Linked DNA regions of Arabidopsis thaliana. The protein of the gene in region 1 interacts with the protein of each later gene in a pairwise test. Each region holds a gene or a part of one and is shown in the gene's direction. Other genes may lie near its edges. The genes, in order: MOS11 and UAP56a.

Region 1 (16,399 bases):
ACAAAAATTAAATTGTTTTAAAAATATATTTTATATCAAAAGAGAAAAATCGAAAAATCCAGCGATTGGCTTGGCGTGCTTTTTTTACATTTCAAAGTTCTCTAAGCTTCTCTCTCTCTCTCTCGCTTTTGAGATCATCGAACACAATCGAAACGAAGAATCATTTGAAGAAGAAGAAGATCGTGAGAAGCTTAATGGGTTGGATCCCGTGTTCTGGGAAATCGAGTGGGAGGAATAAGACAAGGAGGAACGGTGACCACAAACTCGACAGGAAGTCTTCTGATTGTTCTGTGTCTACTTCAGGTAATTTCTCTTTATAGTCTTTGTCCAATTTTAATTCTGGGTTTAACCTTCTCTTACTAAATTATGGAAATTTTTATCCTTTGCTAAAACTTTCTGATTCCTGTGAGCCATCATCGTTTGCTAATGCTGATTAGGGTTTTTGACTTTCTGTTTAAAGATTGCTTTTTTCCTTCCATTTCACTAGCTTTTGACTACTCTGTAACACCTGTGTTAGTATTTTGACAGTGATGTGTTATTGCATGTCTCTTTCCTGTTAATTGTTGTTATTGCTCTCCAGTGGAAGTTGTGGATTAAACTCTTAAATGGGACTTGCTAGATCCTTAAGTATCTTGCTATATTCTTAGAACTTTAATTTGTTGATTATTGACCTTGAGACAATTATGCTCAGCTTGTGTTGATTAATTATTTCTTCTTATCGCTTTCTTTTCTTTCTTTTTTTGTAGAGAAATCTAGGGCCAAGTCGTCCTTGAGTGAATCCAAAAGTAAAGGCTCTGATCACATTGTGGCACAAACGTTTACATTCTCTGAGTTAGCTACTGCCACTAGAAACTTCAGAAAAGAATGTCTTATAGGAGAAGGAGGATTTGGTAGAGTTTACAAAGGATACTTGGCCAGCACTAGCCAGGTTCCTTCCCTTTTTTTTGCTTGGTTTTAACCTTTTGAATCTTCTTGGTAGTGAAAGCTCACTGTCATTATATCTTCATTTGTAGACAGCGGCTATCAAGCAACTTGATCATAATGGTTTACAAGGAAACAGGGAGTTCCTCGTCGAGGTTCTCATGTTGAGTCTTCTTCATCACCCGAATCTTGTTAACTTAATAGGATATTGTGCTGATGGAGATCAAAGGCTTCTAGTCTACGAGTACATGCCCCTAGGTTCACTTGAAGATCATTTGCACGGTATGCGCTTCTAAGATCACACATGCCTATGAGAAGTCTTTAAATTTCAATCGGGTGATGCTTTTTTTATTTCAGACATTTCACCTGGTAAGCAGCCACTTGACTGGAACACCAGAATGAAAATAGCTGCCGGTGCTGCAAAAGGTTTGGAGTATCTGCATGACAAAACCATGCCTCCAGTGATCTATCGAGATTTGAAATGCTCAAATATTTTGCTCGATGATGATTACTTTCCAAAGCTATCCGACTTCGGGTTGGCTAAACTTGGCCCAGTTGGGGACAAGTCTCATGTGTCCACTCGGGTTATGGGAACATACGGATACTGTGCTCCCGAGTATGCAATGACAGGCCAGCTAACACTCAAATCAGACGTTTACAGCTTCGGTGTTGTTCTGTTGGAGATTATAACTGGTCGGAAAGCAATAGACAGTTCAAGATCTACTGGAGAACAGAATCTAGTCGCATGGGTAAGAAAAAAAAACAAATTGGGAACAAACTTTGTTTTCTCTGCGGATTCTTCCTTCTAATTGTATTCTTTGAAATGCTCTCTATGTCAGGCAAGGCCTTTGTTTAAAGACAGGAGGAAATTCTCTCAGATGGCTGATCCAATGCTTCAAGGTCAATACCCTCCGCGAGGGTTATACCAAGCACTCGCTGTAGCAGCGATGTGCGTACAAGAGCAGCCAAATCTTAGACCTCTCATTGCTGACGTCGTCACTGCACTTTCTTACCTCGCCTCCCAAAAGTTTGATCCTCTGGCTCAGCCAGTCCAAGGATCCCTTTTCGCTCCAGGGACTCCACCTAGATCAAAGAGGGTCTGAAAATAATCCCGAGAACCGCAATGCTGTGTAAGTTATGTAGCTTAAACCCATTCCGTGCTGTCTTTCTTGGAGAGGAAAGGTGGATGATTTTCAGACTAAGTGTGAATGTATGGCTTAAGAGCTACTTGTAGATATGTGTAAGAAGAGATAGATTCATATAGAGGCCGGTTTATAATGTTGTTATAGGTGATGTTGTTTAATGTAATGTTTATTGAGCGCTTGCTTTCAAATGTGACAATTTCTCATTATTGTACTGAGGATGTCTGCTTCGATTCCAAAGTTATTGTATAAATATTAAAGTACTATAGTTTTCAAAACTTTAATGTGTGAGATTTTGATTGTATTGATATCATATTACAATGTCAAGGATTGATTATTGGTGAACAGTCAAATATAGATCAAGCTGTTGCTGCAAGTTAACTATACACCTTATCCTTATTGCATCATCTGGTTCTTAATGTGTGAGATTTTGATAGTATTACTATCATACAGTAATATATTAACAATGTCAATGGTTGATAATTTGATCAACACTAGAATACAGATTAAGCTGTTGCTGCTTAAAGTACAAATCTTATTGCATCATCAGGTTCAAGTACACATCTTATTTCTTCATATCCAAAGACCACCTGTTCGTACAAGGTGGTTTGGTCTCATACACTTTACTGCTTCGTGCTTGCTTACAGTTACTGCAAGAATATAACCGGAATTAGACTCACATTTAGTATAGACCATTAACCGAGAAAGTATTAAACAAGTCATTTGGCCATAGTAATAGGCTAGCTGATGATTAGTGCATGGTCTTTGCTTTCAAAACGTCTAAGTCGCAAAACGCTCGTTGGAGAAAGATGAGATTGTCTCTGAGCCAGATGCTAAACCGACTCGGTTTTCATTCCCAAAACAGAAAACTAACCCAAAGCAACGAACATTCACACCTAAACAACCAGATGCTTAAAGGCATATATAGCTTTTATGTTCTAACCCCCAAGAAAATATGAAGCAACTCACATTTGGATCCATTAAAATCATGTGGTAGTTCAGTTAAAAAAATTATATCCTAGTTGTATGACTTACCATGAATTTTTTCTTGAAAACCTCCACAATCTCCTTAGGATCCATTTTCGTCTGTGCATAGCCATCGCTCTTGTTAATTTCCTGCAAACATAACACCGATCGCTTAAGTACCATTCCCTAGTGAGGATAAGTGTAATCTTTTCTGACTTAATGAAGATTGCATATATATATACCTCAATCCATGCTGATAGTTTGGGACGTTCGGCAGTAATGTCGCACTTAAATAATTCATTGAGTACAGTTTGGAACCTTTCAATGAACGGGATATAGGCGATATCAACCTTGAAAAAAACAAAGAATTCAAACCGTCCATATAAGAATTAAGACAAACAAAAGGCGAAATGTATGATCTCAAAGAAGGTTAGTGAGGCTTATACCAAGCTTAACTGACCGAGGAAGAACGGCCCGTCATCGAACTTATACAGAGCGTTTTCCAGATAATCTAACACAGGTGCTGAAACAAGAACATGAAATTTTTGGTCATAATTTTGTCGCCTTTTCACCCCTGAAAACAGTTGAAGAGTTTAAAGTCTCACCGGTTTCTTTAGAGGGGTCTCCTTTGAGTGACACATACATAGTTTTAACGAAAGTATCAGTATACTTGAGCAACTCGTCGCCAAACTCTCTTTTTGCATGATCCTAGAGAGGGAAATGAATAGTGGAATCAGAGAATAATGAAGGGAAACCATACTCGGTATAAGGGATGTGTTACCTCGGGGTAAAGAGAAGGCCCTTCAAAAGTGTTATCAAGATATTTAATCAAATCCAGACTCTCCCCAATGATTTTTCCATTGTGCTCAAGCGCTGGCACCTGAAAAAGATAACGAGAAGTTTCCACTAAGTCATAACCAAAAGTGGAATGTCACATATGAACTCGTGAGTTATAAATAGAAAACCTTGTTCTCTGGATATACTTTCTCCTTGTACCAAGCAGGCCTATTCCCAAGATCCAAAGGAACAAGTTTAATCTTTTCTTGCAAACCCTACAACCACCGGAAACCAACCAAAGAATCCAACTACTTTATAAATAGAGTACACATATGCAAGAAAGATAAAAGTTTGTGAGACGTCAAATTAACAAACTTCAACAAGATAACCAATCCGGCTTCAAATATCCCTAATACGACCAAAATATTGTTAAAGGTGAGAGACTAGTACAAAGGAGAAGCTGTTAAACCTTGAAGTTTCGAGTGATCCAAACTCGTTGAGCAAATGGGCAAACGTAGCTTGTGTACAACCTTTGGTAACACAAAACAATAAGAGGTTAAGACATAAGGGAAATCCAATAAACTACAGAACAGAGCTAAAACCAAAAGCATAAAAGAAGCAACATTGAAGATTAACCTTGTGGTTCCGTCGAAGAGAGACGGTGGATCAGAAGTAGCATCAAGCGGAGCTGGACGATCTTCTACAAAACTGTCTCAATAGAATCAAGCCACAGAAAAACTTAAATTCCCAATACAGCTGAAATCGAATAGACTTAATGTAAAAAACATGAATTTTGCGAAACTTATAATCCCAAAATCGATCAAACTCAATAAAGACTCTAAATTCCGGATAAGAACATAGATCCTTACATAAAAGAAGGAGCCATTGACGATACAAAGATCTGATTCTGTAGAAGAAACTACGGATTTTTTTTGTGTGGAAGCGTTTACGTTTCTCGAAATTACAGTCATCATCGTACACGTGGCAGTTTTGTGATCTTTGTCGGGAACTCCATAACTCATAATGGGCCGTAATTGATACAATTCAATAAGGTATTCAATAAGGTATTAAGCCCATTTTATTATTGACATTTGTATTATCCGGAATAAACCATGTCTCTCTCTTTGATGAATGAAAGTAAACAATACCAAATATCTCTTATTTATCACAAAATGTACAATACCAAATCCAGAAATTTATAACACTCTCAAGTAGTAATATTTCTTCTTCATAAGCCATCATGGCATCGTTACCAAAGTCCAACAGATTTGTTACTTTTACTGCAAATAAAGAAAAACCGGAATCGGTTAGTTTTGTTTTAGAACGTTAACCGGAAATTGAGTTAAGACAAAATTGCAAAGCCTAACATTAAAGTAAAAAGGGCATTTGAGTCCAAATAAACAAAAGTTTAAACGTTTATAAAAAGCGAAATTACCATGAATCTCTTGAAGTAATTGACAACATATTCGGAGTCGGTTTTGGTCTGCGTATATGCAACCATCTTGTTCATTTGCTGCACCACACACATTGAGGTAAAGCAATCAAGTATGCAGCTAAATCATACAAAAGTTTTACCATGTTGACATGCATATATCACACGTGTACCTCAATCCAAGCAGCTAGATTTGGCCGTCCGATTATAATTTCATATTTAAAAACTTCGTCGAGGAAGACTTGAAAGCGTTCGATAAATGGGATATATGCAATATCAACCTAGCAAACAAAATCGAGTAATTTTGTAACCATAGTGACACATTCAAAAAAGGTTCATTCGCACTTAACATTTTGATAAGACTAATATACCAAACTAAGCTCGCCAAGGAAGAAAGGACCATCATCAAACTTTTTCAGAGCATTTTCCACGTGATCGAAGGCTGATGCTGCGTCAAAAACACACATGTTTCAGCCTTCAGATGCCCAAAACAATTGACAAGACACAAAAGAAAATCAACCTTACCTGTTTCTTTAACCGGGTCACCTTTGAAAGAGCCAAACACAGTTTTTACAAATGTTTCATCGACATATTTCAACAGTTCTTCACCAAACTCTCTCTTTGCAGAATCCTAGACCAAAAATTTCAAAAAAACAACATCTCATCGAAATATTGTTACTTACATGACAAGAACAAGTCTATAACATGCCAACAAGGTCATACCTCAGGGTAAAGTGAAGGTCCATCAAAATTGCTATCGACATATTTGATTAGATCAAGACTCTCCCCAGTGATTTTTCCATTGTGTTCAAGGGCAGGAACCTACATACATCATTATCACAATCTTTTAGAGTCTTCTATTGTCACTTTTGAAAGAACGTTAATTAGTTTATAAGGATTAATCATAAAAATAAACGGCACCTTGTTTGCAGGATTAACTTTCTCCTTTAACCAAGCTGGCCTATTAGGAAGATCTATAGGAACCAATTTGATCTCATCTTGCAGACCCTAAAACTCCCCAATGTCAAACAAATCAACAAATCTTGCTTATAAATTTTTCATCTCGATCTCAATTTACATACATATATACCATAAATATATAAAAAACAAGTACCTTGAGGTTTCTTGTAATCCAAACACGTTGTGCAAATGGGCAAGTGTAGCTTATGTACAACCTTGTGGTTCCGTCGAACAGAGCAGGTGGATCAGAGGTAGCATCGAGCGGAACCTGACGATCTTCTACGAAAATTTTTCTTGATAAAGGAAAAAAAATCAAGGAGATGAATATAGATTTAACAAGAAAAAACGACTTTATACTAATCAAGAAACCTCATAAAGTAAACAAAAAGGATCTTACGGAGGAGATAGAGCCATGGAGAGGATTTGATAAGAGTTGTTTCTTCAGGGGATTATTATTGCAGATATGATGTTTTAAAGGAACTATGGATCAAACACATAAGACTACGTATATATATTATATATATACTCAATGGAAATTGGAATTAGGAATTAGGAAGAGGCTTGGTTCATGCTTACCCAATGGTGACTACCAATAGAAAAAGGTAAACGTACGTCAGCGTTTGATTAATCTCTGTCGTTGAACTTTCTAATTTTTGTTGTGAAGGTCAAAGATATTGATCAAAAGCTTCTACTAGTTTTGTTTGCGAGAATACTAATAATCACATACGTGAAGTCTAATCAGTTGAATACGTGAATACTAATAATCATATTAATTTTTTTTGGTTGCTTTGTGATGATTTTTCTTTATATCAAATAAAAAGAGTTTAAAAGAAGAAAAAATGGTAGATGACTAAATATTTCAATTGAAAGAACTATTTTTGTTAATTACTGTGATATCTTTTTGTAATGCTTGTAATGTTATAATAATACGATTGGAATGACACACACACAACGAAAAAAACTATTTTTGTTTTCGTCGAAATTTCATTATGACAAGTGGACAAAAACAAAATGCTGGTCAAAAAGCTCAGTCTGTGAACCACGCCATTGGATGCTACCTCACCGAATCATCTATGCTCAATTCGTATCGTATAAATAATTATTCTTTTTGTATATGAAAATATTATAATTCTTTCATGCCTTTCTTTTCTTTCTTTTTCTGGTAGACCTTAAGCTTCTGGTTAGTGGTTACTAATATTTGTATCAGAAGATACAATCAAAATTTTATGTTTTCTTTGAACGTATCTAAATTTAAAAAATTTTACATGTCATTGTCTATACAGATTTCATTTTGAAATATGAGGTGAAATTAATGAACCAAAGAAACCTTTTTTCTTTTTTTTTTCTTCTTTTTTTTTTAAAAAACCTTTTTTCTTCTAAATGCTTTTATAGTTTGTATTCATATTTTCCGATCGTAAGAAGACTTTTGTAGATTTTCACATAGTCACAGAATATACCAAACGGTCAAACAAAGATGCAAAACACATAACACATACTGACATAAAAATATATTAAGAAAGTTTGGGAGATCTTTAAGTTCTTTTGCAGCATTTAACGACCAAACAAAAACTAAAGAGGTCTGCAAAACATTATCTCATCCACACTTAAAACACATCTACTAAATGCTTTGAGTAATACCCACTGATTGCTTTGGTTGATTATTACACTAAACTTCGTTCTCAGTAATCCGGCGCTAAGAGAAAGTGCAACGATGCTTAAAAGGAGGAACAAGTGTTGAAACGAGACATGCATACATCATACATATTCAAGAACGGATGAAACAAGACGGGAATGTTAACAAAGTTCCAATCCTACATTCCTACTTCGCCGGCCGATAATTCGTGGACGTGGTCACGTGGTGGAGAAGATTAAATCATAAAAAAATGAAATTATGAAACGATGTCGTTTTATTTTTTATTTGGGCCGGGCTATTTAGATCAGACCCGGATTGTAAGCAAGTTTAAATAGACAATATTGCCCCTTATTTCGGATGCTTAATGTATCGGACTATAATTTAGATCCGATCCGGCCCATAAGAATCAAGTTTTAATCTGACTATATTACCCTTCGTGTCGAAGGGCTTTAAAAGTCCCCGAGACTCGACGGTTCGACTCTAACCCTACAATAGTCTTCTGCTAAAATCGCGAAAGAGATATCTTACGAATCTCCACAAGTGCGAATTTCGAACGGAGCTACGATTCCATGGCGACCAACGGAGAGAAGGTCACGGCTACGGTGGTGAATGGCGGAGGGCTATCTACTGGTGAAAACCCTAAGAAAATTGTAGACCTCAACACTACGGAGTTAGATCGTACTGACGACATTCTCGACGGAGAAGTCAAGGGATTTTCAGATTCTGGTGAAAAGAAGGAAGAAACCGACTCTAATGGTATTGGATCGACGGCTGGTGTTGATTCTGGGGATATCTCTCCGGTCGATGATATCCAGAAGAAGATTCGACGTGCTGAGAGGTTTGGTGTTTCGGTGAAATTGACCGAAGAGGAGAAGCGCAATTCTCGTGCTGAGAGGTAAAGACTTTAATATTTATTCGTTAGATTCCGTCGAATTTAGGGGTTTCGAAAATTAGGGTTACGGAATTTTTTATACTTATTGTCAAACCTATGTTGTAAGGAATTTCACCTTCGGTGCAGGTTTGGTACTGTAGCTGCAGCAGTGGTGAATGGCTCAGAGGGAACGAAGAAAGCAGAGGAATTGAAGCGAAAAGCAAGAGCTGATAGGTATGTCACAATACTTTCTTTGTACTTGATAGTTGTTTATTGGTTGGGTTTAGAGAAAAAGGAGTTTCATACTCGCTTTGTATTTTGAACAGATTTGGGGTTCCTTCTGCGACCTCTACTACTGATAAGACTGAGGAAGAGGCAAAGAAGAAAGCTAGGCTCGCTCGTTTTGGAAAAGAGACTAAAGTTGATTCTGCTGAAGAAAATAAGCGCAAAGCTAGAGCATTGAGGTACTTTTTCTATGCAACCTCAAATTCTTCTAGTCCCTGAGAACTGAAGTACTGTGCCATGCTTTCTAATTATTGATTTTTGTGGTTTGTGAATTTCCCATCATTAGGTTTTCAAAAGAGGCTTCAGCAGATGCATCTTCAGATTTACCTGAGAAGCAAATTATTGGCAAGGTAAACAGTCTTTTAACTTCTGTTGTGTCGTCCATCTGATAGAATGAGAGAATTGATAGAAAAGCTAATGATATCTCTTGTTGAACTCTTTGTTTCATCAGGAGGCAGCTGTATCAGGAAGCGCTGCCTAAGGTTCCTCAATAAAGTTTTTCCGTCTTTGTAGTTAGGTGAGTTTTTCCAGATAATTCTTATTGCATTGCAAACTCTTGTTGATACGATTTTTTCTCGTATTTGACTCCATAATCTGTTATATGGGCAGGTAGTGTGCTAGCGTTTTATGAGTCCCTCTCTGGCTGCTTCATTCTCTCTTTATTTCTGAATTAGAAGTCCATGTGTGTAGTATCTTTACTAAGTTCGGTCGTGGAGCAATCACCAGATGAGATCTTGAGAAACCAATAAGTAACCTATAGTTCTGATTGTCTGAAATGACAATTATCAATGTGTTTAGGACCTAGGAATTCTGAAGTGGCTGGTATTGATGTTTTCCATGTTGCAGGTTCTTGGAGTGGTAAGTATAGTTTGATTAATAACTTTATTTCGTTTTAATATATTGGAATGTGGATGGTCCTTTTAGTATTGCATGTTCGTATCAAGCACAAGCACCAGCAATTGAAAATTTGTACTGCATGCAGCAAATATTTAAGTAAGGGAGACATTTTTTTACTGTTTTGAACTAGTTAGAAATTAGAAGTGTTGATTACTTTTGAGTTGTGCCTATTTTGCTAGTTTTTCTTAGTCTTGGTTACGAAATTTAGCTGGTCTACTGGTGTTCTGTGCTTGATTGCGAATATTGCATGCAAAATGGATCCCATAAACATGTGTCGTTCTTAGGTTACTTAATTTCATATGACCTCTCAAGCCGCTACTTCAGAATTTCTTTGTCATGTAAGACATCATTAGAACTATAGATGTACTTGTTGGTTTCCATATCTCTGGTCTCTATGGCAGTTGAAGGAAAGAGAGCCTCAGATTCTAAATTCTCTGTTCGTGGGACTGCGTTTTTGCTGGCTTCTGATGCTACACAGTTTCTTTGTTTCTGTAATAGATTTTAGATAAACTTTTGTTGATACTTGCTTTCTGTTAATTTTGAATGAAGCGCCAGAAAACTTTTATAAAGGGAATGTAATGTTAAGTTTCAACACATTTCTTGGCTATCTACTGTTTTGTGCCTAAACTCCAATATGTTGCAACGCTTTCGAATTTTACCAGCGTTGACATTGATGATATTGCATGCAAGTACCCTCGTGTATAATTTTGCATACAGGGGTACATGAGAATTCATGTTTTCTTGTGGAGAACATATCAAAGATCTCATAACTTAATATTGTTTCTAGCTATACTACTAGTTCTTTTCTTGACCCTGGCTCCAATTTATTGCCCTTGACACAGGAAGTGTTTTTGCCGTAAGATCTGTTCATGATGTTGAATGCATCGGGTATCCCCCTCTAATTGACAGAGGTGAAGCCCAAGAATTGGTTTTGACCGGGTGGGGGTTGAGATAGACCACAATAACGGTTATATCGTCGTGGAAATGCCTTCTTACACCAGGATGGATCTCTGTTAGGTCTGAGTATCTCATCTCTCTTTTCTTTGCTGCTTCCTTCAATGCAGCTTTAAGTAGTCTCCTTGCTATTCCCTGTGATTGTGAAGGTATTAGTATTAACGAATAGTTCTTGGTGTGCATTGTGCTAGTATGTAACGTATTTGTATATGGGTTAGGCATTGAACTTACTTGTCGAGGGGAATTATGCACAATATCAACAGCTTCCTGGTTGCTAAGATGCTCCCAAAGCCCATCTGAAGCAAGAATTATAAACTCATCTTGTGGGCTAAGCCGCGTAATGGTGACTGATGGATCCGCACTAAGGATTGGCTTAGTGAAATGTTCTGGTAGTCTGAATTTGGGCAGCAAAGGTTCTCTGTTGAACTCTGCTCTTTTGAGGTATGCATCACCTATGGATCTTGTGACCTGGTTAAAGGTCATAACACATTTGCTAGTCAGTTTTACATCCTTACACAAGATAGGCTTCAATATATGATTTTCTTAAGCTTTTGTATTTCATAGAAACTGATGAAGCAAAACTCTGTGCAGGTTATCAGATGCGTTATCATGTATGAATGTTTACCTGGATAACGCCTTTCACACGCCACAAGCGGTGCTTCATCACAAGAATGGTGGGGTCATTAGGATGCAATGACCATAGCTCTTGCCTCGCAGACTCAAGATTGGCATTGTGCTCTACAGATAACTGAACAGCTCTCACTCCACCTCTCTCAGATCTGCCCAACACAGCTCTGGAATCTCCCGTGTTTGCAATATACACCAATCCGTTGCATATCACTCCTGCCAAGCAACATGACCCCACTGATGCCATCTGTGGGTTCGTAGGCCATTGCTTCGTCACTGTCTTGAGAAAATCTTTGTCTGTCTCGGCAAATGCTTTGCTGATCACCTGCTCTGAAATCTCCCTACCCTCGGACGCAAACTCTGTTCATGTGAGACCAGTGTTAGTGTGCCTGGCAGATTCAACAATAAAGGAAATAAAAAAAGTCGGTGTCTTACTCTTTAACTTGGGGAAGATGTTGTCTGCAATGAATCTGGAAGCCTCTGGACCTCCATGGCCATCGTAAACTCCAACAAATGTGCCTTGAACTGTCGGATTGTTGAATGTAAGCGGCCCTGATTCGATCTGGCACTGATCCTCCATCACACTGTTGGCTTGGATCATTGCCATGGAAAACTCTCCAAAGGTGTGAAGACCAAGATCTTTGTACCATGTCAAACCATCAACCTTTGTGGGATTGATCTTACTTCTCTCCATACCGGCACCTATTCTCCAACAGGGTTTAACCATCTTTCTCAGGTATGTAATCTTCGAGCAATATCGTAATATAAACAGAGAAGAACTCTATATAGAATAAATTGATGGAATAATGATAAACTAGTAGTAGCAGTGCTGGTTGTGAATTATGAGATACAAGTTTAAGGAAGGGACCATATATATATAGCCGTGGAAGCCCTAGAGTAAGTGTGAAGGTGTTGGAAAGCAGGGAAAGAGGCCAAAAAGGGTATGGGTCAAAATAACTGAAAAATTAAATGGTTCTGAGAGTTAAGACAAGAGGGCAGTAGTTTAAAGTGGATATTCAGAGATTCTCCTCTTTACTGTTCGATGATGATTCTCTGTCTTAGTAGGGCTGTCATATTCTTTTCTACTCTCTCCTATATTTATAACATCATGTAGTTATTATTGCGTTAAAAGTGTCTCTCCTTTCTTAGAGGTTAATAATCTTGTAAAAACTTAGGAAGCAAGAATGTTCTCATTATATGATTAATGACTTCTTAGAGGTAACAATATCTCATGTAAACGTCTGTTTTCACATTGGTTGTGTGTTAGTGTCTTTATTAACTCATCTTGTAAATGAGTTTTTGGCTTTTGTTTGCAAAGTGGTAATTTGTGGGAAGAAAATGGATAGAAAAGGAAAGGTCATAGGATGCATGTGTGGGCGTGGGTTTTGGGAGCATTGAACTTGGAACCATTTAAAGATTTGAGAGCTGAGAAAGACTGAAGAGAGAGGAGAGAAGACATTTGTGGGGCGACTGAGGAACACTCTTAGCTGTCTTAACCCCTACAGGTCTTTGCCCTTTTCTCAGTCTCTCGTCTTTCTTTTTTTTACCTTTTTCTTTAATGTTATCAAAAGCTGATCTCTTACTTGTTGTGAGATTCAGATCGAAATTCATGTCATGGATAATTATGGGGCTGAAATGAATTTTCAAAGAGGATGGATCTTTTTGGTACTTTTGCTAAGTTCCATTTTGCATGACCCCTCATTGGCCTTCCTCTGTCCCTCCTCGTTTTTTCTGTTCATAAGGATCCACCGATTTGATGCTACTGTAGAGAGAACCACTGTCGTGTGTTGATAGACCAATTTCATCAACGAGATTGTTTAAATTTCTATATGTTATCTAATGCATATGTCGAAGTTAGATCGAGTTTTCGTTTTTCGTCTATCTTTTTGTTGTGCTTCGAAGTTAAGAATTCAACAAGTGGGTTACACAACTTCCACTTCCACTTGTTTTTTTTAATGATAATAATCTCTTGAGACAAAAACATGTTAGGCTCCCTAATTCGATCTTTTAAAACAAGAAAAAACACACACACAATGATTTATAGTGGTTTACTTTAAATATCAAAATTACGTTATCCTTTTGTTTTTGTTTCTTCTAGCTCACGAGTCACAAACAATGAGAAATGATAACAATGATTCAAATAAGGAATACAAGTGGATCCGCAACTTAGGCTCCACAAATATAATAAACGGATTAAAAGATACCAAAAAAAGAATTTTCGTATTGGATGCATATAATTTAGGTTTAACCAATTGTTATATTGATATTGGATTTACTTCTACTTGCTTATTAATTTTGTTGAAAGGTCTTTCATTCATTTCTTATATTTGGTTTCGCATATGACGGTTCCACTAGTTCGATAAGGCCAACCTCATCAATTGGTGTGACTTGACGCATAATTTGGTAAAAAGTTTGATGCAATATATAGATCTAATTGAAGTCAAATCAAAAGAGTAAGAAAATCACGTGTAAGATAGTCTAATACAAATAGAAAGAATGGTCCAGGTACATTTTATCTTAACATATATTCACAAATAACTTTCATAAATATTGAACCATTTTGTGAGAATCACATGTGGCCTTGGAACGTATTGAAGGGTCCTTGAATGCACCATTACAGTACATACAGTGTATTTTCATGTGCTCTCTATCCTTAATTAATTTCCTATCCTTATTACGAAAAAAATTGAACAACTTCAGTCTCGATCGTTTTGATTTAAAAAGATAACAAGAAAGAAGAATAAATAAATATTATAGAATAGAAAACAAAACAAGTTCCTATATCAAAAAAAAAAAGAGTTGTGGTGACAGCTGGGCCATTGATGCACTGTGTTTTGTCTTTTGGTTGAGGGAGCATGGATGTCAGTCTATCTCTTTAGCTTCTTACTTCTTACTTATTAGCTTTGTTTTCTCTTTTGTATTGTTTAATATTTAGCTTACCATTGGTGTTTTTATTCAACATTCATTAACTTACTTCTTTAGTAACTATATGTCTTTATCTATATTAAGGTTTATCTTCGATAGAAAGGTCAATTTGGTATTCGATATCACACTATAATCTGAAGTTAAAATGTCTCGGGTTGTCTTGTTTTTTCATATAGAGAAATACCAATATCAAAACACTTTCAATATTAATGTATATGATAGATATGTAAATGATTGATTATGGAGTTACTTCAGTATCTGCGATATCCATGGTTGGAATTGCTTCTACAAAGTTTACATCGCATGCATCGATGCAAGTATAAGACAAACCTCCTCAGAAAGAAATAAAACAAATCGAATAATATGGTTTTATCAATTAATAAGAAAATTGAATGCACTCGCATCGACACTGTCTCTAATTTGAAAACTGATGTTATCAACTACAGTATTTAATTTGGAGTAAAATATAAACGAGCATTTAAGTACATCTCATCTTTCGAGAAACCTAGGTTACAAGTAAACTGAACCTACCTTTAAGAAAAGGAATCTTTAAACGCTAATTATATGTGTTTAAGCGTACCGATATATAAGAAAACAGATCCAATTTAGCCTAACATTTTCTTTAGGTTTGATTGATCACAAATAAGAAAATGAATAAAAGTGGAGACGTGGGCACGTAGAGTAGACGAGAGTAAATAGAATGCATGGCATGCAGGAAACATGAGACAGACATCGTGAAGGTCCCATATTGTCTGGTCGATCCAAACCTTGACATATTATCACAACACTATCTATCTAGTAACTAGTGTTCTTCGTATTGTCGTAGTACTTTATCAATTATCATCTCATCACATTGCAATTAACTAAAATTTTTATATAATATTAGATTTTGATTTTGTTATCTAGCTAGTTGCAATTGTATCTGGACGTACTATTATCACTTTGATTTTGTACCTTTCATTAGATCTCTCATCTTAGCTTGCAACTTAGTATCCATCATCATTATTTTCTGCAATTTAAAAAAATATTTTCTATGTACATGTAGTTAATACATTAGAATTTTATTTATAGCTCATACCCCAAAAACTACGCACATATTACATATGTATATTATATTAATTATTAACAGTAAGCTACATAAAATTTGTGGATTTGCGAATTAGACCAACCGTTATTACGTTAATAACAATATTGGAACTTTGTTTTCAAAACAAGAGAATATATCATCGAATCCACTGTCAAAACATACAAATTATCGAAGTAGCTATACTTCGACAGTTTGATCTGCGTTCACCAGGAATCACTTGTTTTAATCGCGTATTTTCATTTTGACGAGCGCAATTTTTACGTGCAAGTGTGCAACTATTAGTTGGTTCTCATCAAGATTCAAGACATTTCTATTTATCTCAAAACCTTCGATGGTAGTTTGATAGATATGTTGATGATTTGTTCAATTATTTGTTGAGAAAAATACTCTTCGAATCTTATATAATATTATTAATATTAGAATATTTATCTTCTTTTGTTTTTCTTCGTGACTTTCCAGTTTTCACGATAGAATAGATGCACATGACTTTTTGATCAACACTATTTAATTGATTGATTTGATCAAAATAAACTTTATTTAGATATTATTTTCGTTATGATATTTATATCATAGTTAGTTATATGAACCGTTATTTGTCCTGGTAGAATCGGCCCAGCTTTGAGAATGTAAAGCAAGCTTCCATTAAATTATCTAACTTGTATTGGGCTACGTAAGGCCCGAATATAGAAAGCTCAAAAATGTATTTAAGCCCATTAGTCCCGAGACTGAAGAGCAACGTGAAATCATCAATGGATGGTGATATGGGGAAAAAAATTGTAACGCGATCTTTTGTTTGTTGTCGACATGTCATCTTTTGATTTCATTTTCCCACCGATTGACTATAGAATATGGGAACAAATACATGATTGAAACCAATGCTCATATACATGAAACAATTAATTTTATTTTTTTTGGTCACTAT
Region 2 (16,399 bases), 2.9 Mb from region 1:
CCCAAAACCATGAACTACACGAAAATGATGGACAAGGCAAAGTTTTGTTTATGTCCTAGCGGTTGGGAAGTGGCGAGTCCGAGAATTGTCGAGTCACTTTACTCCGGCTGTGTTCCGGTCATCATAGCTGATTATTACGTCCTCCCGTTCAGCGACGTGTTGAATTGGAAGACATTCTCGGTTCATATTCCAATATCAAAGATGCCTGACATAAAGAAGATTCTAGAAGCAATAACAGAAGAAGAGTACTTGAATATGCAAAGAAGAGTGCTTGAGGTTCGGAAACACTTTGTCATAAACAGACCATCAAAGCCATATGATATGTTGCATATGATCATGCATTCTATTTGGTTACGGAGGCTTAATGTTCGAATCCCTCTTTCACAGTGAACTACATATTGTAATACTCTTTTATATATAATACACATACATAATATAGGATCTTCAGAAACTATATAACAATGTCCCGTTCTTGATTTTCGATTAAAACAAGCCTCCAAAGTTTCGTTTGGGAATGGGACGTACAATTTTCATGGCCTACTTGTAATGGTTGGGAAGCCCAAAAAGGCCCATTTAGGATCATCATTTGAAAAAGATTTTTCGACGACTTTTAAACGTAGCTTCAGGCCTTCAGCCTAGGCCTTGTTTCTGACTCGTTCTAGTTTGACACTTTCCTTTTTAAAATCCTTTTTGTTTTGTTCCTCTGGTTTGAGAAAATAGAATTTCCTAAAACAGAAAATGTTGACAAAGTCAAGAACGCGATCATAGCGATGATCGTCGAGTCAAAGTCAGAATCGTTGCTAACTCCAATAAACAATAACATATCGTTAAAAATACAATACTCAAAGCCTTTGAAATAAACCTTTAAATAGATGGAAAGAGAGCAAGAGAACTTTATACTTTTCTCTCGAGCTTTCTTGTGACAAACAAAAAAAAACAAAAAGCTTTCTCTTTCTCGAACTCAACTACTTTCTCCTTCTGTCTGTGTTTCTTAAGTAACAGACAGAGATGAGTTTATGTTCAGAGATCTCTCAACTTCATGTTCCTCATTGGAACAGTGCATACTCTGTTTTCAATGATGATAACGACAAAGACTCTGTTCTACTCTTCCCTGAGCTTCTTTTTTCTCCATTGAACAAGGCTCTTGTGATCACAACCTCTGATTCGTGGGACGTTGTCTCCGTCGGAGAATACAAAGTCAAAGCTAGTCTCTCCTCCACTCTTCAAAGCATTTTCGACAAGTATGGAGACATCACATCGAATTCCAAGCTCCAATCACTCTCCACACGAACATATCACCTCGAGACACTAGCGGAGGTTGTTATCGAACTCCAGTCAACGCCTCTACGTCGGTTATCTGAATCACGGGCCACTGAGATTCTAGCAATCGTTGATGACATAGAAACGGCAAAGATCCGAGTAGGTTGGCTCCGGTCCGTTCTTGAGGAGGTTCTTGAAGCTACAAGGTATTTTGACAGATGCGAAATGGCAGTTATGGAGAAAAAGGCCGGCGAGCACCGTTTATTGCTTGCAAAGCAAGAAATGGAACTGAGTTTGAAGAAGCTTGCAGAGAAAGAGAAGGAGATGAAAGAGTTTAGGGAGAAATTAATGAAGACAACAGGGAAATTGGGTTCGCTGGAGATGAAACGGACGTGCCTTGATAAGAGATTAGTGTTTCTGAGATCTAAAGTCGAGAAGTTTCAAGGTCAATCTGTTTTTCAGGACATTTTGTGAAGAAGTTTTTGTATTTCTTAATAGTCTTTTGCGTTTAGATTTTTTTTTGTATAGAGAGAACTCGTCTTTATTCGTTGAATGAAAAAACAGATTCTTTTTCATTTTGTTGACTTTTTTTCGATTCAGATTTGTTCAGATACAAAAAGATGAAAAACTTTCACCATAATATAAGTTGATTCAATTTTCGATTGAATATGTTAGTCAAACACCAAATTTCCATGTGGCCAATCTTCAGTTCTTCACCATGTGACTAGAACTTAATAAGTTGGAAAATTCTTCACAGATCAAGCAAAAGCTAAAAACGTCATCATTTAATACAACTTTTAACGCCGCAGCATAAATTGCAAACAGACAGGGGATGATCATTAACAGTGAAATATCACACTTACAAATAAATAATCGACTCTGTAATTCAAAGCAATAAGCAGAAGCTGAAATTGAAAGATCACATAAACACACATTTTAGACAAACGCATATAATCTCACATTCCAAAATCGAAGCAGAGTCTGATAATTCCCAAGAAGGGAAAGGTGAAGAAGATAAGAGAATGTCTTCTTACTTGAAACAAGAAGGAAGACTTGGCCCATGGCAAACAAAGGCCATCGCGATGTACACAACCAAAGCTAGTACAAGTATCAGAGCAATTCTGCAGAAAAATAACAAGCATCATGAGCAGAGAAAACCAACAACAAAAACTCCACCAAGAATGTAAAATTGTAAAATATATTTTCAAACATACAGTATGTAGTTATCAATTCAACACGAAATTGCTAGTTTTTGTCTCGTCAAGTTTATCAGGTAAACAGGTTTGTTGGGAAGAATTTTAGATCAGAAAACTTACGTAAGCTTGACATTTCTCCACCACATAATGGTTCTGTAACGACGAGCTTGCTTTCTGAAACGAAAAGTGTTGCCTTGCATATTTTCGGTTTTATCAACTAGCAACTCCAAACGCTCCCCTCTATCCAAAACTTTATCAATATTCTCAATCATCACATTTCGAACCTGAAAAACAAAATCAACGTCACTAGTAATAGTTAGTAATAAAGCTACAATACTGCATAAAGTATCGAGCAAATCATTATGTCCATGTATGTGTCGTAATAGGCTATATCAAACATATACTTTAGACTTCAAAAAAGAGATGATTTTGTAACATTACCTGACTCATTTCACCTTTGATTCTGCTCATCCTGTCTGCATTAGGATCATTGGAATAAAACTCCATCTGTTGACTCAGAACTCTTGAAAATTCATCATTCATGGAATAAGCTTGAGCTGAATGAATAGCTCGGCCATATGTTTTCACAAACCTCTGATGAATATCATCCAAAAACGCAAACGGAATATTCCCTGCCGCAACATCAGAGCAAAATCATAAGTGACATAAACCTAACATCACCAAATTGCTCCCAGAAAATTATCAGCATCTTTCTATTGAAACAACAATCAAATCCCCCAGAATTGATATAAGATCTCAGCAGAAATCGAAGACACTCAAATACAAGAGCCAAATCATGTAAAATTGATGAAATTAGCGAGAGAAGCAGCTTACTTCCGGCGGTTTCGTCGGCCATACAGAGAACGGTAAGACCATCTGTTCGTTTCACATGGAAGATGTAGCGATCCTGAGAGTAAGACATATGGCTATCGCTATCGTTTCCAGGCAACTTCTCCAAAATCTGCTTCGAGATTGAGCTAGCGTTAGTCGAAGTAGCGCTAAACTCCGATAACACCACCGTTCCACGAGCCACCAACGCAAATATGATCGCCATCTACTCCGGCACCTTGTTCCAGCTCACTTCTCCCTGTAAATCTCAGATCTTGAGAACAGCGATTAACAAAACACCCCAAAGTGATTCGATTAGAGTGTAAAATCGGAGAATTGTTCAACGCCGATTTGTAATCAAAGAAGCATCACCATACATCTGAAATTGAATTATTGAAATGATTTTGAGGAACCCTACAAATTGAAATTAGGATATCGGAGAAGCCCGCTTTACAGTGAAAAAAAAAGTTGAATTTTGAAAATATCAGGCGCAACAAAAATATCTGGCCTCAATCTAAAACTCTTGGGCTTACATATAAATTTGATATCACAAGGCCCATTATTTTATTTTTAGGATTTTTGGGCCTATATATACAGAAACTCTTGGGCTATTTTCTGTATGGGTAAAAAAAACAAGCAGTAGTATAATCGCCCATCATGAAGCTAGTTGGAATAAATCCCTGTATAAACAAAAGTCAAATGAAAGTGTAAAAAAGCTGTGAATGATTTTTGTTATAAAGCTATAAAGTTAGACAACGAGATTTGGGATATCTCCTCGAAGTTGTAACTTTATTGTTATTCTATCTCTCTACTTCAATTTTTTTCCTTTAGGTTTGTGGTGGGTTTCTCGGTACGAGGTTCATTTACCCTCCCAACTATACAATAGACTTTTGTTTTTGTTTTTTTGCTTTTCACCTTAAATCTTATCTACCTCATATTCTCTAAATGTAATCAGTGGAGGAACGATCTAATTAACAATATACCTATCTAGAACACGACCTAGATAATTTACATCATTAGAAATATTTTGTTGGTTAAGCTTTTAGATATATACTATGCTAGCTTTAACAAAAAAACAAACAGAAAAAACTGTGTTAAGAGAATTTTGTAAGCTTTTAGAAAAATACTATGTTAGTTGAAATTCTATTGTCCCAAGTGTTGTTTGGACTGTTTTGTTTCTTTGCATAGTTCATGTAGTGGGCTTGTTTGAGTTTTTCTTTATCGGAGAAAGATTATTCCTAAGTGAAGTCTCTTTGTATGTTCTCTAGTGAAGCATGAAAGACATCACTGTAAATTGAATCAAAACAATACTTGTTATAGTGGAATTCTTGTGAACTATGATCATATAGATGTTAACTTCACAAAATCTTGAACTTTGAAAAAGTTTCACTTGTAATTATACGTTTGTTATTTATTTTGGAAGCTAAGTGGTTTTTGAGGTCGAGAAATCATTTAGGCGGACCTAACATGGGCTAAGGAAATCGTAATAAACACATGCTTCACGAGGCTAGTACTTCTTGAACTGTGTATTTGGCGGCCTCGTGCCATGCAAACAGAGCAGTATATAGAATTTTCATAGAAGCATAGAAGATACCAATAAAATATCTTCGGTGAACTAGCACAAAGCCACAAACTTCAAATCAGTACTTCACATTTCTGACATGAAATTTTGTTTTAACATATATCGTTAAAATTGAAATTGCTCATGAAAAGGGGTATGATTTAACTTCTCAAAAACATGGTCTTCACTTATATATGAAGTCACCAATCCATTATGCTAATTTCTTACATATTAGCAATTATTTTGGGTCTTTATTTATTGAACTCTTATTTATACCCGTTTTAATTATTAGAAGAGTCTAGATCTTTCACACGTATTTAAAAATAATATTTAAAATTTATTCTATATCCTTTACTAATCTATATAGAGCTGAACTAAATTATAGAGTTATATGATTATATCTTAAACCTGAATTCAAAACTAACCCCGTACCATACAAAAGAAATTTTGTTATACAAGTTGGCATGTACCACTCAATTCTGGACGCATATTGACTCTATTGCTGATTTATTTGTATTCGGTGATCTGCTCCCCATGTACTTTTTTACTTACGCTTTGAATTCACATAAAAACCTGTACTACTACTATCTAAATGTTATAAACGCAATCTACAAAAATCAGTACTCGTACAAACACAAACAGTGTAATGTAGGAGACAAGAAATATAAAACACCTCGATTTAAGGAAAAAAGAGGTAACTAAAACTAACACAAAGGCTCCGAATGGTGACTGCGTTTTGCGGTGCGGGAGAAGTGCGGTGCGGTTCAAATAGTAACGAAAATACATATGTAGAGATTTTGATACTGTTACAGCACTGTTGCAGTGCGGTTTTAGGTGCGATTTTGGTTAACATTAACAGCCAAAATCTATTATCCCTACGCCTACCAATATAAAGTTGTAAAAACTTATTTAATACACATTACAGTTCACAAAACTTTTAATATAGTAAAAAAAAGAGAGGCAAGTGTAGCTGTGTATGGAGGAGACAAGACACAAAACATGGAATGTGAACTAGTTTTAGGAGAATGGGTACTTCTTTTTATAGAAAAATGTTTTTTATTTTTGGCAGAGTATCGAATCTCTTTCCTTTATAGGTCTTTTGATCGAGACTCTAGTAAGAAAGAGCTAAAGGCCAAAAGATTCTCTCGAAGATCCATAAGATTTTCTTTTCTTCTTCGGATCTTTCTTCACTCTCTTTAATACAGTATCCATTAACGCTTGTGATTGTGATTTTATTGCGGTTCATAAAAACCTGTGTGCCGACCCAGTTCGCGCGTGTGGTACACACACTCTTCTCCACTACTATTAAATATTAAATGCTCTCTCACCCACTTTCTATACAACTGGTGGTGAACAGAGGAACAGAGCGAGACAGAGACATAGAGAGAGAGAGAGAAGAGAGAAGATCTGATCTCATTTCATTTCATTTCCTTCTTCTGCGAGGGAAATTTATTTGTTTCCTACTTTGAATTCTTCCCCATTTACTCTCTCAAGAGAGAGAGAGAGTGCGAGAGATTAATACACACAAGTGAAGACGCTCCTTAACTCTCTCAGAATTGAAACTTTAGTGAGAAAGAGAAGAGAGAGAGAAAAGATGTTTGCGGCGGAGAATGGTCTCAAAGGAGATCCAAGGCTTGAAGCTATATCAGCAGCCATTAGGGTTGTCCCTAATTTCCCTAAGAAAGGTCTTTAAAACTTCTTGTTCCTCTGTTTTTTCTGTTCTTTGTTCTGTTTTTGCAATTCTCTGAAGTTGTTTCTTGGACAGGGATTATGTTTCAGGACATAACTACGTTGTTACTGGATCACAAGGCGTTTAAACACACAATTGATATCTTCGTAGATCGTTACAAAGACATGCAAATCTCTGTCGTTGCTGGTAAGACTCCTCTGTTTTTTTTCCTTTGTTCTTCCTTATCCTCTCATTTCTTTACTACAGTGTTTCGTCATCAAGTTTGTTAAGTAACGCCAAAAACTATGTGTCTTTCTAAAATGGGTTTACATCATATAAGCAAACAAAAGACAATTAAAAAAAGGAGAAACAAGAATTGTCTTTTTCTTCATTAAGAAATTAATATGTTTGTTTACATCCAAATGTATTATATAGGAGTTGAAGCAAGAGGTTTCTTGTTTGGTCCTTCCATTGCATTAGCCATCGGCGCAAAGTTTATCCCTTTGCGTAAACCAGGAAAATTACCAGGTTTTTTTACTGCATTATCTGTTTTGGTTATTGTGATAGAGAAGCTCTTGAGATTCTGAAAAATTGGCGAAACTATAAAATATAGGGAAAGTGATATCGGAGTCTTATGAGCTCGAGTATGGGCATGACCGTTTAGAGATGCATGTTGGCGCTGTTGAGCCACGCGAACGCGTCATTATCATTGATGATCTTGTTGCTACTGGCGGCACTCTTTCTGCCGCAATGAGCCTATTGGGTTTCTTTCTTTCTTCTTGTTTTCTTTTTCAGTTTTTAAAGAGAATTTTTTGGTCTTGAATTGTAATGTGATACAGTTTGACGTTTTACAGAGAGCCAAGGAGCTGAAGTTGTTGAGTGTGCTTGTGTTATTGGCTTGCCTGAAGTCAAGGTGAGTCACATTTATCTTACTTGTCTAAGAAGTTATCTCTGGTTTTGTTCTTTTGAAATGATTTCTAAAATGTAGTGATAGAGTTAGTTTTTTTGTTATAATCTCAACTCAAATTTGCTCATTGAGTTTGTGAAAATTTTGAATTGTTTTTAGGGGCAACACAAGCTCAAAGGGAAGCCGCTTTATGTGTTGGTGGAGCCTAGTGGATTAGATGAGTTCTGTTAGGATACATACCGGTTACTTCCGGTTCAGTTTTCTTTCCCTGCAGAGTTCATGTTCTTTTTTTCAAAATTTCTAGGGTTCCAACTTCTTGTATTCGTTCTCGTTTATTGATCTCTGTAGATTTTGAATTTTGATGTGTACTTTCCACGGCAGTGGTTGGTAAAAAACCGAGATACTGAAAAGAGTCTTTACATTTCCCGGTTTGGTGGAATTTCTGATGGATCACTAACTCATGTTAATCAGTTTATAATAACTGTAATCATTAAAAGGGTAAAGATACGTTCGTAATTTATGCGGGAAATCTAAAAAGTACAACTAGTAGGTTTACTAAATTTAATGCTGATATTACTGAGCACTGATAAAGTTGGTTGTATTCTACGACAAAACTATTCATTACTGCAATATTGGTCCATATTTTTGCTTCAGCACTGCTGCAAGTTTTTCTTTGTTTCTCCCTAAACTTAACAACTTACTTCACTGATTTCAAATTATAAATTGAAAATCGTTAATAAAGTTTTCATGATACAAATTATTACATAAGCAAACTACTGTATGTGTTATTTATTGAAGACTATAAAACAATAAAAGTGAAAGTACACAATGGCTTTCCTTACAAAGCTTTATTTGCTAATAAACAGAAGAGTCTGATGGATAACTTGAGAACTCAGCAGAGCTGGTTAGATCGCGAAATCGGATTAGGGTTTCGAAATCTCTGAATTGCAAGAGTAAAAATATCTGAGCTTCGTCCAAACGATTCCAAAGAGAGTGAAAGATATGGTTGAACTCAGTCTAAATTGGGTTTTGTTTTAATTAATGGGCCTACAATTTTGTTGGGTCCTTGAAACAAAAACATTGTTATTAAGGGAAATGAAATATCTTAACTAAACCAATTTGTTATCTATTGTGCTCTACTGTTCTGTTCGTATTGACTCGAACCCACTAAACCAAGACGAGCCCTGACCGTCATTGTCTAAATTGACTCGAACCCACTAAAGAAAAAAAGAAAAAAAAACTTAGATAATAATTGGCGCAGAAGGGCCGATTAATAAAAACTTTAGGCCCATTAAAGTAAAGCTTATTGTCAACCCTATCCAGTCTCCTTGTATATATTTATTTACGACACCAACGCGGCGTTGGTGATTCATTCTCTTCAGTCAGAGATTTCGAAACCCTAGTCGATTTCGAGATCCAACCAACTCTGCTCCTTATCTCAGGTAAAATTCTCGCTCGAGAACTCAATTGCTTATCCAAAGTTCCAATGGAAGATGCTTTCCTACTGAATCTTAGGTTAATGTTTTGGATTTGGAATCTTACCCGAAATTTCTCTGCAGCTTGTTGAATTTGCGAAGTATGGGAGACGCTAGAGACAACGAAGCCTACGAGGAGGAGCTCTTGGACTATGAAGAAGAAGACGAGAAGGTCCCAGATTCTGGAAACAAAGTTAACGGTGAAGCCGTGAAAAAGTGAGTTTTATGATTTCCTCGATCTGTTTCATGAGATAGTGGATGTTTAAATTTAGGGTTTTCTTAGATTACTGCTTGATAACAACCGACTAAGTTCTTCAATTATCTATGTGTTTGGTTAGTTGCTTAACTTTATGACAATTGACTAAGTTCTTCAATGCTAAAATTCCTGGAACCTACCCAATATTAGACGGTCATGTGTTTATCATCTTGTATTTTCTCTTTGTGACAGAGGGTACGTGGGAATACACAGTTCTGGATTCAGAGACTTCCTTTTAAAACCGGAGCTTCTCAGAGCTATTGTTGACTCTGGATTTGAACATCCATCTGAAGGTTATTACAATGAAATACACCCTACCTTTGACTTTTCTGCCTTGCCTTTCACCATTCTATTACCGAATGATATTGTATAATTTACAGAAGTGACTTCTCCATAAGATGTTTTAGTTGTCCGGAAACTTTTAATTATATGTACTTCGTCTAGTTTTGAGAAGATATGTTGGTTAAAGATATTTTATACTTTATCTTGGTCCTTTGCTTATCATCTAACTAAATTAAAAAAAGTTTGTGTTGAGGTCAAATTCTTTTTTATTTCCTGTTATAATGGTTTTTGTTTTCTTTGTTTATTAACGTTTCACTGATTACTTTTTCCAGGTAATAAACGATATTTCAATCTATTGGTTTGGAGTGAGCTTAAACATGTGCTAAAGCCACCAATTTAAAAGATATGGAGGTTATCATCTACTTATAAAGGCTTTCTTCGGTACAATTTTCTTTGGTTCTCCACCAGTGCAACATGAATGTATCCCTCAAGCTATCTTGGGCATGGATGTCATCTGCCAAGCAAAGTCTGGTATGGGGAAGACTGCTGTGTTTGTCCTGTCTACTCTACAACAGATTGAACCATCTCCTGGCCAGGTTTCTGCACTTGTCTTGTGCCATACAAGAGAGCTAGCTTACCAGGTATGACCTTCTTGTTTCACTCAGGTTCTTGGCTTATAGTTTTGTTGTACGTCTTCTTCCTCTAATGCTTTTTGCCTTGATGCTGACAATTACTTGCAGATCTGCAATGAGTTTGTGCGATTCAGTACCTATCTGCCTGATACAAAGGTTTCGGTGTTCTATGGTGGAGTCAACATTAAAATTCACAAAGACTTGCTGAAGAATGAATGTCCTCACATTGTTGTTGGTACCCCTGGTCGGGTGCTTGCACTTGCCAGGGAGAAAGATCTCTCTTTGAAGAATGTGAGGCATTTTATTCTTGATGAATGTGATAAAATGCTCGAGTCACTTGGTATGCTGATTTCTGACATCATTATTACATCGATCCCTGAATAATTTTATGTTTTAACACTTTAACTTTTTTTTTACCAGACATGCGAAGGGATGTGCAGGAGATTTTCAAGATGACTCCTCATGACAAACAAGTAATGATGTTCTCAGCAACGCTCAGCAAAGAGATACGCCCAGTCTGCAAAAAATTTATGCAAGATGTAATGTTCCATGGCCAATTCTCTCTCCCTTTGCAAGTCTTCTAGTTTTCAACTATTTTTAGCCTTCTATGAGTGATCATAGCATTAGTTGAGCGTCTTCTGCGGTTCTGCCCTGGAAAAGCGGCAACTGATCTCTCAATGGGTCTCAATCCAATAATGGTTGGGTAGTTTGTAGGGAACGAGAACTGTGAGTGTGAGACTCTGTAGCTTTGGTATGGTTTCTATGGGTGATTATAGCATTATTTGGGCATCTTCTGCGGTTCTGCCCTGGAAAAGCTGCAACTGATCTCTCGATGGGTCTCAATCCACTAATGCTTTGGGTAGTTTGTAGGGATCGAGAACTGTGAGTGTGAGCCTCTGTAGCATTGGTATGAATGAGTGACCATTGCACAACAGGATCTTCTTTCGTCATTACCTTTTATTCAGTTTCAATTTCTTTGCAATTCTAGCAGTGCTGGGTGGGTTTTGGGTGGGGTACTGTGTTGTCCCAAGGTTTCATTGTGATTGTATGGGCCTTAATGTTCCGAGCAATATCGCTGTATCATAGCAAAACTCACATCTATGAAGAGAACCTGGTGGACGAGGATCTCAGATCAGGGGTTTTACATCCATCTTCACTTTTGTAGTGTAAATCATTTCCTGAGAAAAGCTTGCTAATTATTACCTGATATCTATTCCTTTCAGCCAATGGAAATATATGTCGATGATGAAGCCAAGTTGACTCTTCATGGGCTTGTCCAGGTACTCTTATCTGGTGTTAGGTCTTCTTATTCAATGGAAATATAGTTTGTTGTTTGATACTTAAAAGACCTTTTACTGTCATACTGTAACAGCACTATATCAAACTGAGCGAGATGGAGAAAAACCGGAAGTTGAATGACCTTCTTGATGCGTTGGACTTCAATCAAGTTGTCATTTTTGTGAAGAGCGTGAGCAGGGCTGCTGAGCTGAACAAGTTACTGGTGGAATGCAATTTCCCCTCAATATGCATCCACTCTGGAATGTCTCAAGAAGAGAGGTCTGTACATTCTCTTCAAAATTCAATGTTTTTGAAGGACCCTACCTGCTCTTAAAGCCCTCATGGAGAGGAGTCCAATTCTTAAGGCTAATACGATATGTTATGTAGGTTGACTCGATACAAAAGTTTCAAGGAAGGGCACAAAAGGATCCTTGTGGCGACTGACTTGGTAGGAAGAGGGATTGACATTGAGCGTGTCAACATTGTCATCAACTATGACATGCCAGATTCTGCTGATACCTATCTTCACAGGGTAAGTATATAATACTGAAATTTATTATTTGATTGTTGATCTCACTGAAAGGGCTCTTGTAACTTTACCGTTTTGCTGTGTATGGTATAGGTTGGCAGAGCTGGTAGATTTGGAACCAAGGGTCTTGCAATCACATTTGTTGCATCTGCTTCAGATTCAGAGGTTCTTAACCAGGTATGGTGTTCAATCTTTGTAATAAGTCCACGGAAAACTCCTCTTGAAATTGAGTTGGATATTTAGTAAAGTGGCAATTATAAATCTTGGACAGGTACAAGAGAGGTTTGAGGTTGATATAAAGGAACTTCCGGAGCAGATTGATACTTCAACCTACAGTAAGTGTGAAATCCCTTACCAATTGTTTGTTTAAAAGCTTGGTTTTGTCTGGTTGTGATATTAATGTTGTTTCTTCTTCTTTCTTTGTTCAGTGCCTTCTTAAACAAGTAGCACGTCCCTCAGGAAAGAAGCTCTTCAGATTTCAACCTTGTAGGTGTTCGAAGGGTGATGGGGGTTCACAACTATCTCTCGCTCCGTTTGTTTTAGTGTTTTCTATGACGACATTTTTTTCCATATGTTTAGAACGTCTGTTGTACTCTTTAAAGGAGATTCGAGTCACTCTCCAAATCGCACAGTTAAAAGCTGTCCAGTTTTTTGTACAAGAGATTATTATGTTTGAAATATCAGGATTTAGTCTCGACCTGATTACTGTGTTCCTTAGGAATCGATCTATTATCAATTTATCATGGTGTTGCTAAGAATCGTCATTCATCAGCGTTACTTCCTTCATGTGATGCTTTTTTTTTATAACACATTTCATTTAGTGTGGAAGAGATACAACACGTATATATGGTTACTTTATATATTGAAAAGTTTATATCCAAGGAACAATGGTTAGGGGAAAAAGGCAACTTGAAGGAGTCAATGTGTCCTTGCCTATTTGTCTTTTGACTTTTTAAGAGGCAAGTCTGTTGCCTTTGCATGAGAAAAAACTCAAAAAACAACACGCAAAAGAACATAATAATTAGGTTCATTCAGAAAGACTACGATCAGAGCCTATGCAGACTTAATCCTCGAGAATAGTGCAGCTCTTCGGGTGGGTATTGTTTTTGAGGTGATCAGATTTCTACGGTGAACCAAAGTTGGGTCGACTTCCACAATAATATCTACTTCATTTCGATCTCCAACATTAACTTCATCATTCAGAAGCTGATCTTGATCATCGGCTTCATTTAATGCTGGACCAGGTGGCTCAAGGACTTGATCATCAATTGGCGGACTAGTCGGAGCTCTCATGTTATCATCTGTTGGCTGATTAGGTGGAGCTCTCATGTTACCATCTGTTGGCGAATTATTAGCATTGATCTCGCCGCTTTTGCTTTCTTGGCGGTATCTTCTACAAACCAACATGGCTAAGAGTAGAAGCATAGAAACAACAAAGACGATCGTAAATAGAGCTTCAAAGCTGTGGTGATCGAGCCGGATTGGAGAATCCGATGTGGTTGAGTCAAGACAATGTTTTTCTCCGAGGAGCCACTTATTCTCTATAGCTTTCATGGTCTCTCCCTCCGTTATATTCAAGATCTGTCTTGAAAGATCTGGCACCAAAGGAGATCCCAATGGAAAGGCCTACAAAAAAAATGGAGATCCAAAAACACATTTCAAAATCATATTAAGAACAAACTCGATGGTTTGAACATATTTTCGTAGCATGGATAGAGTCTATATTTTATTCGTAATGCTATAGACCAATACTTTTTAGTGGTAGCTAAAAGCGGTTTGTACTAGTCCCGCCCCATCCTCTGCCACTATTCAAAGCCTAGATAAAAGTAACCAGGTTTACTTACAAAGCCAAAGCCATCAGCCTTAAAGGTAGGCTCGATAATGGTATATTTTGAGCAATATTTAGCCATGAAAAGCTTGACATAAGCGACTTCGTCGAATGCAGCATCAATACCACCATTGCTGCTCTTTTTAAGAAAAAGCTCATGCATTTCCTGAGGAGTATCATAAGTCTTTAACCTCGATTCTTTGTAACCCATTTGTTTCAGCCTTTCGAATGTAAAGGAACCAGTTTGATATCCAATGTTAACTCCACTGTTCCTCAGATCATCCATGTGTCTCACTGTTGGTCGAAGTTCTTGAACCGTCAGCATCGATGTCAATGTTGCTGTGTAGCTCTGAGTCAGAATAAGCAACACAAAGCACCAAACTACCACAAGAACCCTTGTGAAAATGCTCTCCGATGGCCTCACTATAAAAAAATGTGGTTATATCAGATTCTTTTTTCAAAGATTTGCAAGTAATTGGAATGATTAGAAGCTGAAGATGTGTGACAACAAAAAAAAAAAAAAAAAAACTCACTGTGTGCGAAAAAGAGAGTCGAAAATGAGAAGTAGAACACATTAGATATTTTATTAATAATGCTCTGTTTCCTGAAATCACCACTTGCTTGGTACTCAAAAATCCAAACCATGATCCCAATGTAGAGAAAAGAAGCTGCAGTGAGGAACCAGAGCTCCCTTGTTAAAGGCTTTAAGAAGACCCATTTTCCTTTTTCCCTCTCATCCTTGACGGGTACCACGACTACAATACCCGTCTCCGAGTATGGCAACGCGAAATCTACGTATGTAGACCGATTAGCTAAGATTGTGGTATCCCCTACTGCTCCATCAAACTCCTGTAAGAACAAGAAAAAGTTTTATAAAGGTCTCATGATTTCGGCTAATAATTTACATTTATGATCAAAAAAAGAAAAAAGAAAAAACTTAGGGATCAATATGTAACTTACCCCAAGAAATACATGATAAACCATTTCGTCATAACTTCCACGGGGTTTTCCATCAGGAGTTTCAAAGGGTATGTACTCATAGGGGACAGCATAAGGCATTTGTCTCATTGCCGTGTCGAAAACATCTATGCAAAACCCGGTGATCGTTGGAGCATTAGTATTTGCATCTTTTGTTACCTCCACAAAATTATTGAAACCATCCTTCTTTGGAACTGCTATTCGCAGCTTCTTTGCGTTTGTTGGGAATTCCCAACCTTTAGGCACAAAAATAGTGTCCCCTGGCCATATTATCGGTCTAAGGCGGTGCGAGCTGTGTGATATTTTAATGCCTGTTTGATTCACTCTTAAGCTCTTCACTAGTCCTACTTTTGATTTCCAAAATCCAACTGTTCTTTCCCCACTTTCCTCTATATTGACTATCTTGAAAGTCGTCGCCTCTAGCTTTCCGTTTTTTAGCTGAAATCTTCCGGCAACGCCTTTGAAACTGACTGTTGCCAACGCTTGAAGAAGCTTGGGACCAGAGAGAGCAAAGCTGAGATCATCAAGATCTGTCCCAGTATCATCTCTTGAAGTGTTTCTTTTGGTCTGACTGAAACTCATGTTTACGTTACTACTGATTTCCTCAATTGACATTGCAAGTGCTGTGGCCGTATCATAACCCCAACATTCAAAATTGTTTAGCTCTTCTCCTCCGAATCTTTTTCGCCAACGAGTTTCAAGATACATTAGCTCTTTTGATCTTGAGAAATATGTCTTGACGCCCAAGACACCATGCATATTCTCCAAGCTTGATTCCCCCATTACACTCATTTGATCAGCTATACCATTTGTGACAATCCATACATATCCTTTAGTCATCATACCAATCTCTTTTGCTATCGAGAAAAGCCTCGATCCGAGATCAGGCAACATGTGCACGATAAAAACCCTAGTGGGCATGGTCATTAGTTTGTAAAGCTCTTTCTTGACTAGGTCATCAGTGGAATGGACTGATATGGCACTTCGGTATCGGATACGAACGTTGATCTCTTGAAAAGCATCAACTAAGTAAGGAAGAATACCTTCTCCGAACTCATTGTCTGCATAAATAGGCACAACTTCCCTCCATCTAAATGACTCTATGATGGCGCTAATGGCGTGCACTTGAGATGAGTCATCGTGTGTAGCTCTGATGAAATATGGACTACGGAGAGAATCAAGAACAGGGCTTGACGCAGAGAATGAAATTATGGGAACTTGAGATTGATTTCCGAGGTTGATTAAAAATGGTGCTTGCATTGAATTCCCTGGTCCTATAATGGCCACCACTTCCCTCTTCTTTATCAAGTATAAAGCTGCAAAGTTTAAGTTAATATTTCCTATTTGAGAAGTCATTTCTCAAAATGTGCTTAGAAATGACTAAAACATAGCTTCTATAAAATATGATGTAGAGAGGACTTGAGATTTGATCCGTGGGATCCAATTCAAATTGCCTTCAAATTCAATACATGATATACAAATCTATCATGTCAAACACTATTATTTTCTAACTATAAAATTCTAGAATTCCAGTTTATTCTTATATACTAGATCTATTTTAATTTTGATGTCTCTTTCATTGAATTTCATGAAAAATATATAGATTTTCTCATGTTTTAAATTATTGCTGATTTTGGAACGATCTTTACTTTCGAATCAATAGGACTCATCATTTGCCAATTTAGACAACACAGTCACTTCCTAAGACAAGGATCTTTAG

The links.
Region 2: the proteins of MOS11 (region 1) and UAP56a interact in a two-hybrid assay, tested with the Arabidopsis thaliana proteins (one study listed by BioGRID).

Annotation. Positions count from the first base shown.
Region 1 is NC_003076.8:621,170-637,568, reverse strand, and holds MOS11 (Protein MODIFIER OF SNC1 11), read left to right. Parts: upstream 1-8,288; 5' UTR 8,289-8,400; coding exon 8,401-8,726; intron 8,727-8,849; coding exon 8,850-8,936; intron 8,937-9,028; coding exon 9,029-9,166; intron 9,167-9,273; coding exon 9,274-9,337; intron 9,338-9,438; coding exon 9,439-9,468; 3' UTR 9,469-9,504; intron 9,505-9,596; 3' UTR 9,597-10,535; downstream 10,536-16,399. Other genes in the region: CDL1 (Protein kinase superfamily protein), read left to right, coding at 195-303, 747-928, 1,014-1,203, 1,279-1,670, 1,761-2,024; GSTL3 (Glutathione S-transferase family protein), read right to left, coding at 2,711-2,713, 3,099-3,179, 3,272-3,379, 3,476-3,552, 3,635-3,737, 3,811-3,909, 3,995-4,081, 4,276-4,336 and 2 more; GSTL1 (glutathione transferase lambda 1), read right to left, coding at 5,084-5,086, 5,242-5,319, 5,412-5,519, 5,610-5,686, 5,764-5,869, 5,962-6,060, 6,160-6,246, 6,353-6,491 and 1 more; AT5G02760 (Protein phosphatase 2C family protein), read right to left, coding at 10,752-10,973, 11,070-11,306, 11,464-11,825, 11,901-12,192.
Region 2 is NC_003076.8:3,544,335-3,560,733, forward strand, and holds UAP56a (DEAD/DEAH box RNA helicase family protein), read left to right. Parts: upstream 1-8,761; 5' UTR 8,762-8,863; intron 8,864-8,980; 5' UTR 8,981-8,999; coding exon 9,000-9,112; intron 9,113-9,344; coding exon 9,345-9,445; intron 9,446-9,766; exon of another isoform or gene 9,767-9,902; coding exon 9,903-10,075; intron 10,076-10,174; coding exon 10,175-10,406; intron 10,407-10,486; coding exon 10,487-10,605; intron 10,606-11,289; coding exon 11,290-11,346; intron 11,347-11,438; coding exon 11,439-11,623; intron 11,624-11,731; coding exon 11,732-11,876; intron 11,877-11,966; coding exon 11,967-12,050; intron 12,051-12,144; coding exon 12,145-12,208; intron 12,209-12,301; coding exon 12,302-12,312; 3' UTR 12,313-12,684; downstream 12,685-16,399. Other genes in the region: AT5G11130 (Exostosin family protein), read left to right, coding at 1-390; AT5G11140 (phospholipase-like protein (PEARLI 4) family protein), read left to right, coding at 1,009-1,734; VAMP713 (vesicle-associated membrane protein 713), read right to left, coding at 2,147-2,165, 2,295-2,381, 2,577-2,740, 2,898-3,088, 3,291-3,510; APT5 (adenine phosphoribosyltransferase 5), read left to right, coding at 6,440-6,530, 6,611-6,721, 6,950-7,042, 7,128-7,277, 7,369-7,427, 7,581-7,652; GLR2.6 (glutamate receptor 2.6), read right to left, coding at 12,927-13,499, 13,718-14,124, 14,235-14,550, 14,662-15,995. UniProt on the Arabidopsis thaliana protein: ATP-dependent RNA helicase involved in pre-mRNA splicing. Required for the export of mRNA out of the nucleus. In addition to ssRNA and dsRNA, binds dsDNA, but not ssDNA.